Notamacropus eugenii: one gene and its partner. The protein of the gene in region 2 interacts with the protein of the main gene of each other region in a biochemical or structural test. Links are inferred from orthologs where the notes say so. Each region holds a gene or a part of one and is shown on either strand. Other genes may lie near its edges.

Region 1 (7,224 bases), on a different chromosome or scaffold from region 2:
TAAGGTGAGAATGTATTTAATAGGAATGTTATGTGTAGAACCTATATAAGATTGTACACCATCTCAGGAAGGGAGTGGAGAGGGAGGGGAAAAAAATCAAAGATACATGGAAGTGATTGTAGAACACTGAAAATAAATAATTTAATTTAAAAAAACTTAAAAAAAAAAGAACCTTGTGCTAAATATATGTAAACCATCTCTATGACTTCCTAATCTCAGCACCAGGTCTAGGCAAAAGGAAAGGATCCTGGCTCATCTCTTATCATTTCTCTCCCCTCCTAACTCCAAGACCCAACACTCCCTGAAAATCTAATCAATTAGCACAAAGAGACAAGCAAACTGGCTAACTTGTTATTTCCTGAACTCACCATTCCATGTCCTGCTCAAATGCTTTCCAACAGTTTTCATAATCTCTGATTATGTGGCTCACTGTTTAGGTTTGGATGGCTTTAAATGAATGTAAAAGGCAACGGTTGTCTGTTCTGGTAGAAACTTGGAGGGTCTTCACCTCCCAGACTGATATTTTGGTAATAGTAAATTGGGCCATCTTTTGTCCCAGATCTTACCTCTTAATTATTGAATGGTCTTGTGGCCTCAGGCAAATTGAGACCTGGGAAAGATCTCAAGGTTCACAAACAGCATCTTGGGCCCCTCACTTAAATCCAATTCATGTGCAAGTCAAGAATTCATCTTTGGTAATATCATTGGTCCTCTTTGAGAAGGAAGGATGAATACACCACCACCAGCAACCCAGCTAACTAATGGCCATTTCCTACTGACTGTGCCCCCTAGGCGTCTCCGACCACCGCCCCAACTTCCTTGTCTCTGATAAGGGACCATCCTCCCGTAGCTCCCTGACCTGCGTGCGACTTCAGGGTCTTTCTTGACGATCCTTCTCCTCCCCTGGAATGCCTGGAAAGCATTTCCTCCTCACCTCAGCCTCTTAGAATCCCTAGCTTCTTGCAAGGTTCAACTTAAGTGCTTTGCTGGTTTCCTGATGTGTGAGCGGTCTCTTCCTCTTCATATATATCTATATCTATCTATCTCTGTAGCTAGCTAGATATAGATATATAGATAGACCTACAGATAGATATAGATCTTTATATAAATATATAAAGAGATAAATATCAATATAGATATCACTATTGATAGTTGTATAAATATATAGGTGGATATAATGGTAGATACATATATTCAATATAGATATATATCTCTCAATATAGATATATAGGTAAATATCAATATTGATATATAAATCAACATAGGTATATATAGATATCGATTTTGATATCTATCAATACATATATAAAAAATCTGTATTGATCTAGAGATCTATATATGTATATATGCACATTACATAGACAGATATGCGTATAAACACAGATGTATATAAGTAGATAGATATATACATGTATATATACATCTCTATAGAGAATATATATATGTAAATATTTATGCCTGGGATTTTGGACACAAGAAGCTACATATTTAAAAGGAAAATAATTGTCTTTTCAGAGCAACTTTTTTTTCTTCTGTTATACATTTTGGCTGTGAGTGTCACTGAGCTGGTGGACCAATTCAAGATACTAAGTCTTGGTACCTTACTCAGGTGAGCACAGTTTTCTATGAGAAAACAATCATAGGTTTTAGATTAAGTGCAGAAAATGTCCTGGATCATTATGGATGTCTTTGACAGTCACTAAAGGAACTGGAGACTCATTAATATATACTCACTAAATGACTCTTACATAGCCAAGGGTGTTTCTAGTTTATTTTGATGGATTCACACACACACACACACACACACACAACTTTAAAACGTAATCAGGTAAACTTTTTGAAGGGCAGGTATGGATTGGTGTTGTATCTTTGTATTTTCAGCACCTGGCCCATTTATTGTAGGCGATCAAAAAATGATGGTGTTTATGCATGTTCCATTTCATTGGATCTACAGAATAACACCCTGTGTGTGTGTTATCAGCATTTCACAGATGGGATAGCTGAGGCTGACACTGGCTAATGGCTCGTCCCGGATCACACAGCTAGTCAAGTCTGCATCGGGATGTGAGCTCCGGTCTCCCCGACTCCAAGCCTAGCGCTCCACTAGCCACTGCGTTCCACTGCCGCCTTCGCAAGCTGGGTCAGGCTGTGGTTGGGAATGGGCGGGCTGCGTGGAGGTTCGGTCCACACTGTCCTGGCTCTGCCCACCCCTCCTGCACCCTCACCTCCTGCTCCTTGCGCTCCACATCGAGCAGGGCGCGCTGGTGACCCTGGCACTGGCCCACCGTGCAGGCGCAGCAGATGCACAACTTCTCGGTCCGGCAGTAGAGCTCCAGGGCTCGCCCATGCCGGGGGCACCGGGCTGCCCCGCTCGGGCAGGGCACGGGCTCCCCCACTGCCAGCTGCCCTTCGGTGGCCCGGAGGGTCTCCACCACGTCGCACAGAGCCCCGTTTTTGTGCAGCGCCGGGCGCTCCGTGAATGGGGTCCGGCACTGGGGGCAGTCCACCTCCTGTCTGCGCCAGTAGTCTTCGATGCAAGCCCGACAAAAGTTGTGGCCGCAGGGCAGAGTGACCGCTTCCCGGTACAGCTCCAGGCAGATTGCGCAGACCAGCTTCTCCTCCAGCTGCAAGGCAGCCATTCCTTCGCTCTGGCCAGAGGAGGGAGAAGCTTCAGGCCCCAGGAAGGAGAGTTCTGGGGGTGCAGCTAGGAACTGGCAGTTTCTCGCAGCGTGCAGAGAGAAGAACAGAGGGCTCGGCCCGCTCTCCCGGGCTTCTCCCCTCCTTTGAGGCTTGGGCTGGGTAACCTTCCGTAGGATCTCTCCTCCCCCTTAGGGTAGGGGTGGGGGGCAAGTCATGGGGTGCAGAAGTGTGCTTTCAGAAGCTACCAACCACCACACCCCGGAGTCCGGACTAGATTTAGAGTCTGACCAAATTTCTCTTCTCCTAAAGTCTGGCTTCTAACCTCTCCCAGTTGCCCACCCACTTCCTGTTTGTCTCCTCCTTACTTTGCTCTTGCCCAGAGCCCTGTCAATCATCTTCTGCTTCATGTACCTCCTCTTCCTCCCGGTCTTTCCTGTTCTGTTATTCTGACCTGCCTATCCTTGGCTGGATGGTCACTCAGGGCTAACGACAAATGGCAGCCATCCCTGTCCCTGCTCTTTCTGCAGCCATTTATGAAGCACTATGTGCCTAGCCCTGAAGATACAAAGACAAGAGTAAAACTTTCCCTAGCCTCAAAGCACTTTCATTCAAATGCCAATGCAGTACAAGAATATACAAAACAGACCCAAGGAAATGGGATGATGTTGGGGGGGGGGGGGGAGGGTAAGGGTGGAGTTGCAAAGGAAGGCAGTAGCCTCTAGGGGAACCCAGAAAGTCCTCATACAAAAAATTAAGCTTGAATTGAATCTGGAAGGCAATCAGTATTTCCAAAAGTCAGAGATGGGGAGGGAGTGCATTTCAGGCACGGGGGACAGTTAGAGAAAACATCCAGAACAATTTTCTAACAAATTACATACAACAAAATAATAAAGCAAACATACAGACATGTATTGATAAAATCCTTTACATCTTCACATTTATAAAATAATTTTCGTGTTATAAAATAAATCTTTATTATCAGTAAGAAAAAAAGGCAATTTCTCCCTTTAGATCAAAACACCTGTTATGAGAAATTTTGCTTTTCTTTCATTACTTTTTAACATTTGGAGCTCAGGGCCATTCCTTTTGCAACTTTTGGTTAACTAAAAGCCTGTCTTCTGTTAATATTAACCTCACCTGACTAAAACTTGATTCACGATAGTGTTAAAAACTATTTGACATTACTCAGATAGAAGTCAAAGGGGAGTCTGACCTTCCAAAAGTGATGTAGTTATTTGATGAAGGATCCCAAGTGGTTGTTTCCTTAGGAAAGTATGAGAATATGATTCTGCTTAACTAAGTTTGTTCAATGTTTTTAACACTGAAGGAAGCATGGGATCATATAGCTGTCTTTTTCATCTTTTATGGTCTAAGAGGATGTATGAGATTGCAATATGCAAACAAATTATTTTTCTGCCTCTGTAATGTAATTTTGTCTCTAAAAAGTCTTATTAGAATCCTAATATTTGTTCAGGGTTATTTTTTTTTAAATCCTGAACCTGTGCTTAAGCATAATAAAACCTAAGACATTGCCTGTATAATTTCTGCAGTAGATTTATTTCAGCAGCAGTAACCTACCACAAATTCAAAGAAGGGACATTTTTCTCTCATAGCACATCCTCTAGCTTTAGCACAAGAAAGCTAGAGGGCTTTGCAATTGTAGTGTCCTTTCGGATATCAAGGAGATATACACAATGAAAATGGATACCAGGTGCGGGTATTACATAACATACCTCCACTTCCTTCCAGGGAGCCATTCCTTGAAACAAAATGAAGAAAGAAAGAAGTTTCACAAACTAAAAAACATCCAAAAAAAAAAATCTTAACATTATATGTAGTATCCCAACACCAATGTCTGTAAAGAGGGTGGGAGAGTGTCTTCTCATATCTCTTCTTTGGGGCCAACCCCATCATTTTTAAGTTTGTAGCATTCACTTTTGTTAGAAACACACTCAGCAGAGTTCAGAGGAATTGAATACTTTGGCCAAAGCTGGCCCCTACCACTACTCAGTATCATTGTTGAGTCCTTGAAAGAGAAGAGATTTTCTGAGTAGGTTGAAAACAGGACTGGGCAGAAATCCAGGAGACTTTGACTCTCCACAACTCTGCCTCTAGTTAGCTACAAAACCTTGGGCAAATAACTTTCTTTTTGGGTCCCATTTTCCCCATTTGTAACCTTGGACTCCTTTTACAAATGTTATTTTAGATGACCTCTAAGATCCTTTCCAACTCTTGCCAGATGAGCTATATATTGTTAGTTCAAGACAGATCCTCCCATAAGGAGATGGATTGATCCATTTTCTAGTAGGTCACCATCTTCTCTACATGCCCACTATGTAACCCCGCTTAGTGTAATTCTCCTTCCCAAACATGATCAGAAAATGGAGGGATAATTTTATGCGTGATGTGTCTGCTTATCTGCATGAAGTTCATTAAGCAAGTGCAGTGAAGAAAAGCCTTCTCCAGGTAACTCTAGGTCATTTTTCTTGGTTAGTTCCAGCGAACTGTTGATTTGGTTCCTCAAAAACTTTGTAATTTTCTGAAGGCCACTGTCTGTCTTTGGACTGATTGAGTTCACCTTTGGTCAACTCTTATTATCTAATTTATTCTCAATGACTTCATCAATCAACAATAACTTACTGTGGAAATTTAACGTTTTGCTGTCTCACAACTTTCAGTTGCTTTCTTGTTCTTCCCACTTACATAGATGTAGTCATGGAATGAGTTGATCCAAAATGTTGGTCCACAGCCAATGTGGAACCGGGCTGCAGTTCTTTCACCTAATGATGAATATCTGGTCACTGGATCCAGATGGCTCAGGAGGAGAAAGTGAGGCTGGTGACCTGCACAGCCCTCCCTCACTCAAAACAAAGTCAAGCGCAAGTCACGTCATCATTTCTCTGATGGCATGGTCTTCTTCAGCAACGGAGGATGAACACACACACCTCCACTTCCTCCTAAGGAGCCATTCCTTGAAACAAAGTATGGAGAAGAAAAAAGTTTCTGGTGGGGACAGAAATCCTTAAATTGTTTCTCTCTTCAGTCTTCACAAAGTGAACCCTCACATGGACTGATAAGAGAAGGCTGTGACTGACCAGTAAGAGTTTCTCTTCTGAGGAAAAAGAAGGAAATAGGCACAGCCCTGGGATATATAAAGCATCAGAAAGGCAGATACAAGGGTAATGGTGGAGCAGGAGGTACATTGGGAAGCTGTATCGGGAAACCAGGAAAGCATAGTGTTCATCATCACTGAAATGAAAACAGAGCATCACCATTAAACTCAATAATTTTAGATTCCTGGGCCATAGGATCCTGTTTTGCTGAGCTCACTCAGAGGGATAGCCCCATGTCTGGTGATTTCTCCTTCCCTTCCTACCTGGGGAAGGCAAAGGCATGGTAGAAAGAAAGTTACCCAATCTTCTTAAGAACTTGTTTTGTTTTCTGTTTTGCCATTTGTTTGAAAAGAAACCATTTCTGTAATACTGCATGGTCATTCATTGAAGTACTGATCAGTGTTTATCTTTGAGGGTTGGAATATAACTGAGAAAAGGAGTATAGTCTGTGAAAGAGCTTCATAGATTTTAGCTGATGCTGGGAGCCATTCTCCAGATAAAAATGGAAGTCTGGAGCAAGAAGAGAGATTTTACTGATACATGTTTGTATACCTTTTCCAAAACAGAAAAGAGCAAGAGAATCTGAGCCAAAACCTAGACCCAGTGAGCCTGAAGTAGTTTTGAAGAGGGAAAGCAAATGATTTAGAGCTGGAGCAGGGTTGGGGAATCTGTGGCCTCAAGGCCACATGTGGCCCTCTGGGTCCTCAAGTGTGGCCACAAGTTCCCCACTCCTAAGAAAGAGTAACCTTCTGGAGCAGTTTTCTCAAACATATTCTATTCTATTTTTTTCTTCTTTTGGTATGTTTGAAAGGTAAACTATAACTAAAGGTAAACTATAACAATGCTCATCCATTGGGGAAGAGGTAAACAAACTGGCATATGAATATGATTGAACATTACTGGGCTACAAGAAATAATGAACATAATGAATAGAGAGAAGTGTGGAAAGAAAGGGACTGATGCAAAGTAAGCATTAGCAGGATATATGTAGAAGCAAGAGAACAACATACACCATGAGTATATCTATGTAAGTGGAAAGAACAAGAAAACAATTGAAAATGAATGCTGCAAAATTAAAAATGGTGGGCTTGGCCCCAAAGAAGAGATATGAAAAGACCTCCCTTTTTACAGATGGGGCAGACCATGGGCATATAATGTTAAGGGGCTTTTTTTAGATATGTTTTTTAGTTCTGTGAAACTTTTTTCTTTCTTCATACTTCGTTTCAAAGAAAGAATGACTCCTTGGGAGGAAGTGGAGGTAGGTAATGTAAATACACACACACACACATATTTAAAATTTTATATAAAAAAAACCAAAAAACCATTTTCCACAAGGGTTGAAGCCAAAAGCATTGCCAAGGGAAAGGCTAAGATGAGTGATGATACTACCACATAAGGTGCCAGCCAAAAGAAAGCAACTAGTACTACTTATCAACATTTTTAATTTTAAACCTCTCCTCCTTCCTTCCTC
Region 2 (7,626 bases):
TTGAAAGTCAAATTTTCTTTTCAGGTCTGGTCTTTTCATCAAGAATGCTTGAAAGTCCTCTGTTTCATTGAAAGACCATTTTTTCCCCTGAAGTATTATACTCAGTTTTGCTGGGTAGGAGATTCTTGGTTTTAGTCCTAGTTCCTTTGACTTCTGGAATATCCTATTCCACACCCTTCGATCCCTTAATGTAGAAGCTGCTAGATCTTGTGTTATCCTGATTGTATTTCCACAATACTTGAATTGTTTCTTTCTAGCTGCTTGCAATATTTTCTCCTTGACCAGGGAACTCTGGAATTTGGCCACAATGTTCCCAAGAGTTTCTCTTTTTGGATCTCTTTCAGGCAGTGATCTGTGGATTCCTTGAATACTTATTTTGCCCCCTGGTTCTAGAATCTCAGGGCAGTTTTCCTTGATAATTTCTTGAAAGATGATGTCTAGACTCTTTTTTTGATCATGGCTTTCAGGTAGTCCCATAATTTTTAAATTGTCTCTCCTGGATCTATTTTCCAGGTCAGTTGTTTTTCCAATGAGATATTTCACATTATCTTCCATTTTTTCATATTTTTGGTTTTGTTTTGTGATTTCTTGGTTTCTCATAAAGTCATTAGCCTCCATCTGTTCCATTCTAATTTTGAAAGAACTATTTTTTTCAGTGAGCTTTTGAACCTCCTTTTCCATTTGGCTAATTCTGCTTTTGAAAGCATTCTTCTCCTCATTGGCTTTTTGAACCTCTTTTGCCAATTGAGTTAGCCTATTTTTCAAGGTGTTATTTTCTTCAGCATTTTTTGGGTCTCCTTTAGCAAGGTGTTGACCTGCTTTTCATGCTTTTCTTTCATCTCTCTCATTTCTCTTCCCAGTTTTTCCTCCACCTCTCTTACTTGATTTTCAAAATCCTTTTTGAGCTCTTCCATGGCCTGAGCCCATGTATATTTATTTTGGATGTGTGGGATACAGAAGCCTTGACTTCTATGTCTTTCCCTGATGGTAAGCATTGTTTTTCCTCATCTGAAAGGAAGGGAGGAATTATCTGTTCACCAAGAAAATAACCTTCTATAGTCTTATTTTTTTTTTCCCTTTTCTGGGCATTTTCCCAGCCAGTAACTTGACTTCTGAGTTTTCTTTCCTCACCCACCTTGCCTCCAGATCCACCCAGCCAGCAGGGTCTGAGATTCAAATGCTGCTTCCCAGCCTCAGGGCTTTGGGTGCGAGCGGGGTTGCTATTCAGTGTGAGATTAAGTTCAGGTGCTCAGGTGGGGGCAGGGCCGCCACTTGGGGCTCAGTTCCCTCAGGGAGTTTATGTGGAGATCTTCAACAATGAATCCGGGCTCCTGCCTGCTTGGGGAGCCCCTGTCTGCTGCTGCCCCTGCTGCTGTCTCCCAAGGGGGCCTGAGTTATAGGGACACCCCACTCCCCTCCTGGCCAGCCAAAGAGACCCTCTCACCAACCCTTGTCACCTGTGGGTGAACGGACCCGTGTGGCTGCTGGAGATTCTGTCCCTGAAGCCTGCTCGGATCTGCTCCTCTCCGTGCTATGGCCAAGGCAGGGCTGGGCTCTGCTCTGGGTCTGGGGCATGGCAGACCTTTCACATCGGTTTTTCAGGGCTCTCTGGAACAGAAATCTCATCTGCTCCGTTGTTCTGTGGCTTCTGCTGCTCCAGAATTTGTTGGGAGTTCTTCTTTACAGATATTTTATGGGCTGTGGGTTTGGAGCTAGCATATGTGTGTCTTTCTACTCCGCCATCTTGGCTCCTCCCCCCTCAAGTATTCTTTAAGTCAAATTAGCAAAGGTTTATTGTAACACCAATATAGAGGGCAGAGCTTCATGCAACTTAACAGGAATGATGCTAAAACTTATATAGGAAAAGTAATGGATTATCTGGCAGATATGCTAATTAGATGATAACTTGCAACCTTGGTCACTGGCATCATTCACTACTGGAAACCAGGGGAAGAGGTTTTTAAGGGGTGTATTTTTGGTGTTACATCTGTGGTAAGGTAGCTTTGAGAGTTGATTTCTATAACTTGACCTCTGGATTGAATATGATAACTTTGGGAATCAATACATGATAATTCTGTGGTTACAAGATAGTCCTGTTTTTACAACAGAATTTCTTCAGAGGTCAGCTTGTTCTTGTGATGGGGAAAGATAGTTTGTCTTCCTGGGGCCCACTCGTGAGTTATTGCTAGGCATACTGTCCTTGGGCTGGGGAGAAAACTCTTAGTGTTTTGAAGCTGGGGAGAAATGTGATCTTGGAAATGGGGCCCGAGCATAAGCACCCCATCAGAAACACAGTTTGTTCTGGGCTTTGAAGAACCTGTAGGGCATGAAAAAAATTTAGGAAAGTATTTTAGAAATTCAATTCCATTCAACGATCAGATGTGAGTAAACATACCAAGAGATAGCCATGCGCCTGGTGTGTTAAGGGTGAAAAAATGAATTGACCCATAGAGTTAGTGTTGAACAATACTGACAAATAAGATTTCAGAGGTAGAGGCCAGATTATGATGAGCCTTGAATGCTAGGCTAAAGATCTGGAACTTTGATAGTGGACTATTGCAGAAATTTTTTGAATGATATATAGATAATGGTGTTTTTTATAAAAATTTTTATTGGAGCAGTGTGTAAGATTGATGGGATTAGGGAGATGTCAACTCCATAGAGTAGTCTTTACCTTAGATGTTATTGCCCTCTATTTATGTGTAAAAGTTGTAAAGAAACATGTGGAAACCGAGCTCAATGTCCCCATCCCCCCCCTTCCCCTCCTAATATTACAAAATAATATTAGGAGCATACTTTAATCTAAAGTTTTAAAAGTCTTTCTTTAATTGTTAATCCTGAAACAATGTCCTACACTGACATCTTTCAAAAATCATTTTCATTGAAAACCCAATTAGTTTCTACAGAGAAAAGCCTGATTAGTCAAGGACTCCTGCTTGAAGTAATTAGCACAATGATTTATGAGAAGGAAGTTTTTTTTAAATTCAATTGATAGAAATGTCTCTTCACTTGAGTTCACCAGTAACTGATCATCTGCCGTCTATGAGTATCTAAGCCCAAGAATCCCAGAAATGACAAGACCCCCAGACCATCAGTTTGGTTTCCAACCCAGCCTTCACCTCAGTCATTCCAAGACTTCTCTCTCCTCTATCCGAGGACATATAGCAACCGCTTCTGTGGATGCTGCAACCACAGCTACTTAATACCAAGAAAAGAAGATTATTGTTTCCAAAATCTTTGACCCTGTTAAATTGTTCAGCATGACAAAGTGATATGAGTTAATCAATGGAAATGACACTGAACATGATGCATTACCATATGCTTCACCATTACAACCTAAGGACCTAGGACTTTCCTATCTGACTTGGAGCTGAAACTTATCTATACGTTCTTCCCCATTAGAATGGGAGCTCCTTGAAAGCTAGAAATGTCTTAAATTTTTATTTGTGTCCCTATCCCTAATTCAGTGCTTTGCAATATAGTAAGTTTTTAATAAATGGCATTCATTCGTTCCTTCACTTTTGATCATGAGTAAAAGACAGTCCTTAGAGGCAGTGGTTAAAGAGGGACTGAATGCTGTTATATCACTGGACTTGATCCATCTGAGTGTTACCTACATTCTGTTCCTTAAATTCTGAAATTTGTTTGATCTTGACTGTGAAATTTTGTCTTTGTTTCTGAAAACTATAAAATGTATGAAGAGCTTGCCTGGGGAGGGGGAGTTTCAATTAGCAGGGGTAAATGTGCCATTTATCTCTCCTTCCAACTAGCAGAGAGAGTGTGTGTGTGTGTGTAGGTGTACATACACACACATACATTTATATATGTGTGTACAGCTAACATTCATCTAGCGCTTCAAGGTTTGTGAAGTACTTTGTATATGTTACTTCACTTGGTCCTCATGACAACCTTGTGAGGTAGACGTTATTTTTATCCTCCTTTTTATGAATAAAGAAACTGAGGCTGAGAGAGGTAGGAGCTTTGCCTGAAGTCACAAAGCTAGTAAGTGTCTGAGGCTGAATTTGAACTCAGGTCTTCCTGACCCAAGTCTAATAGTCTATCCATTGTACCACCATATACATTAATAAAATGTCTCCGACAGATCTGAAGTCTAAAAAGAAAGTACTTTTTTCTGAAAAAGAGGGAGGCAGAGAGAAAGAGGGAGGAGGAGGGAGATGGAGAGCTCTTCCACCTACCTCTCACGCTGCAGTGCGCTCTTTACAGACTTTCACCCAGCTGTCCAAATTTTCCTGCATCACTTTCCCGAACCCATCACTGCATCTGTTGGGAACAGAAGCGCTGACGGCTTGTATACGTCTTTCACGGACTTGAAGCCTTTCTCAGTCTTCTCTAAAGCAAGCAAGGGAAGTTGGGGAATCTTAAGTCAAATCGGGAAGGGCCCTGGGAGATCGTTTAGCCCCGCTCCTGTATCTTATCAAGGAGAAAATGAAGGTCTCCGTAACCGGCCCGGCCCGGAGGGGAGTCTGGGGCATGCACCCGGGGCTGCTAGAATTAGGATCCTGGCGGACGCGGGGGCTCTGCCTCCTACTCAGCGCAGAGCTGCTGCTCGCTCCTTCACCCAATAAAGACCTACTTTATTTTGCCTCTGAATAGGCAGGTCTGCATGAATTGTCCGTATATACGTTCCTCCCCAGCCGCAGCCTGGCTCCGCCCCTCTCTTCACGCACGGAAGCTCTGGAAGCCGGGAATCGAAACAGAAATTGTCCCGGTTCAGACTTTAAAAACTAAGTTCCCCGCAGGCCACCAGGCGGAAGCTTGGCCCCGCGGACAGCCGGCGCTTGGGCTGTGGGACGAGACAGGTGGTGTCACCGCGACCGGGGGCCCTGCCGGTCCGAGCCGAGCCGGTAGAGCTGCCCAGGGAGCTCTCCTTGTGTCCGCGGGCAGTCCTGGCGGAGCAGGGCGCCAGGGCACTCAGCGCCGCGCAGGCCGGCCAGCCGGAGCCATTCCGGTAAAACCCACGGTCCGCGCCGAGGCAGGACGAAGAGGGAAGGGCTCGCAGGAGCGCGCCGAGGGCCCCTGGGCTGCCCACGACCCGGGCGAGATGTCGAGGGAGCATTCCCCGGAGGAGACCTTCCGCAGTCTGCTCCTGTGCTTCAGGCCCAGGCTGAAGCGGTACATCCGAGTGGAGCCGGTGCTGGACTACCTGACCTTCCTGGGAAGAGCGGAGAAAGAGCAGATCCAGCACGTCGCGGCCTCGGAGGGGAACACGGCCGCGGCCGAGGTCCTGCTGAGCACCCTGGAGAGAGGCACGTGGGGGCCCGGCTGGACCCGGGAGTTCCTCACGGGGCTTCAGAACGGGGGCTGCCCCTTGGCGGCTCGCTACGTGAGCCCGGACCTCGCCGACCTGCCCTCGCCGTCCTTAGAGACCTGTCACGACCGGTGCGTCCAGCTGCTGGACCTTCTGCAGCCCACCCTGGTGGACAAGCTGCACGCCGCTGATGTGGTGGACAGGTGCTTGGAGAAGGATCTGCTGACGAAGGAAGACCGGAACCGGGTAGGTGCCTCCTCAGAAAGAGCCCTCTCCTGCCCCCGGTGTGCACACCTGTGTGCGCGCACCTGTGTGCATTCTGGGGCACCTCTGACCGAGTTATTCCTTGAGAACCCGATAGCTCACCTGGCCAGGTGAAAAGACAGCCCAGTTCAGATCTGGTCTGCCTCTGCGATCTTGGGCAGATCACCCGATCTGTGTGTGCCCCAGGAGGGAGCTGGGCGAGATGGCTTCTGAGGCGTTCGTCCACTTGGAAGTTTAGGATCCATGACGCGAGAGAGCTGTTCTCTTACTTCATCCCTGCCCCTTCCCCCCCCTGCCAAATAAATATTGATTAGACATAAAAGGTTATCAAAGACAGACTTTTTAAAGTGGGGGCATTTTGCTTCTGAGGATGTAAGAGAATGACTCTGTAGCTAGCTGTACTCAGGGCTTCATGATCCCTGTCCAGTCCCATCTTTCAGTATGAGCAGTGGTTATGTGGTAGCTTATGTCATGAAAAACTCATAATACAGACATTTTAATGAGAATGTTTGGTATTTTAAAAACGGAAAGGGAGACGTTCCTATGTTGCAGGAATCAGTGTGCCTTTTAACAGGTCAAAGATGCCACACCTCTCTGACGTATTGAGTAAGAGCTCTGCCTTTGGTTTCAGTATGGAATCAATGGCTTATATAGTTTTATACTCACTTTTAAAATTTATCTTATTTTTATGTCACTTAAGTTTACTCCATTATCTTGCCCAATCCTTCCCCTCCAACTTATATAACAATTAGAAAAGTAAGAAAAAAAACATCAATTAGGTAATGACTGTACCCCTTGTGGGGGTACAAGCAGGATGATTTCAGAAAAACCTGGAAAGATTTACATGAACTGATACAAAGTGAAGTGAGCAGAACCAGGAGAACATTGTCTACAGTAATAGCCATACTGTATGATGATCAACTGTGACTGACTTAGCTATTCTCAGCAATACAGTGATCCAAGACATTTGCAAAGGACTCGTTATGAAAAATGCTGTTCGTCTCCAGAGAAAAAACTGATGGTGTCTGGATGCACATAGAAGCATACTGTTTTTTATCTTATTGTGTTACTGTTATTTGGGTTAGGGGGGAGATCTGTAGAGTTTTTTTTCACAGCATAACTAGTATGGAAATATGTTTGATATTGCACATGTCTAATTATGTCAAATTGCTTTCTCTTTCAGAGAGGAGGGAGGGGAGAGAGGGAGAAAATTTAGAACTAAAATTAAAACAATGTTAAAAATTGTTTTTACATTAGAGAAAATATTCAAAGAAAAAATCAAACCTAATCAATGAAATTTTTAAAAAATGTGACAATATATTCAGTATTCCATACTTGTGAACCTCTCCACCATCTTTGCAAAATATTGAGAGAAGATGGATTTTTTTAATAGCTTCTTTGGGGCCAAACTTATTCTTTGCAATTTTACAGCATTCGTTTTCAGTTATTTTGTGGTTCTGTCCATTTACCTTGTAGTCATTGTGTAGATTTTCCTGGTTTTGTTTATTTTACTTTTTATCATGTTCATGTAAGTCTTTCTATGCTTCTCTGTATTCACCACATTCATCATTTCTTACATCGCAGTCATATTCCATTATGTTTGTATAACATAGTTTGTTTAGCCATTCCCCAGTTGATAGGCATCACTTGTTTCTCATTTATTTTTGTACTATGTGTTAGATACTGTGCTAAATGCTAGGAATACCAAAAAAAAAGGCAGAAGATAGCTCCTGCTCTTGAGAAGCTCACAGTTTAATAGGGGAGACAAAATGCAAACGGCTATGTATGGGATAAAGTGGAAATAATCAAGAGAGGGAAGGCACTGAAATTAAGGGGGAGTCAGGAAAGCCCTACTCCTGTAGAAAGTAGGATTTTAGCTGAAACTTGAAGCCAGTGAAACAGAGGTAGAGATGAGAATGGGGATTGGTATGGTATGGGGGGTGGGGGTGGGAAATGCCTGGAGTCTGAAGATGGAGTAACTTGTTTGAGGAGCATCAAGAAGGCCAGAGTTACTAGAGCTCAGATTATGTGGAGGGGACTAAAATGTTAAAAGGCTGAAAAGGTCAGAAGAGATCAGGTTATAAAAAGACTAA

The links.
Region 1: of the proteins of IFIH1 (region 2) and TRIM65, one has a biochemical effect on the other in vitro, tested with the Homo sapiens proteins (2 studies listed by BioGRID, with this or other methods). The link is inferred for Notamacropus eugenii from reciprocal best matches to the Homo sapiens genes IFIH1 and TRIM65.

Annotation. Positions count from the first base shown.
Region 1 is NC_092873.1:342,108,705-342,115,928, forward strand, and holds the start of TRIM65 (E3 ubiquitin-protein ligase TRIM65), read right to left. Parts: upstream 3,007-7,224; 5' UTR 2,640-3,006; coding exon 2,226-2,639; intron 1-2,225. UniProt on the Homo sapiens protein: E3 ubiquitin ligase that plays a role in several processes including innate immnity, autophagy or inflammation.
Region 2 is NC_092876.1:221,886,419-221,894,044, reverse strand, and holds the start of IFIH1 (interferon-induced helicase C domain-containing protein 1), read left to right. Parts: upstream 1-4,624; coding exon 4,625-5,519; intron 5,520-7,626.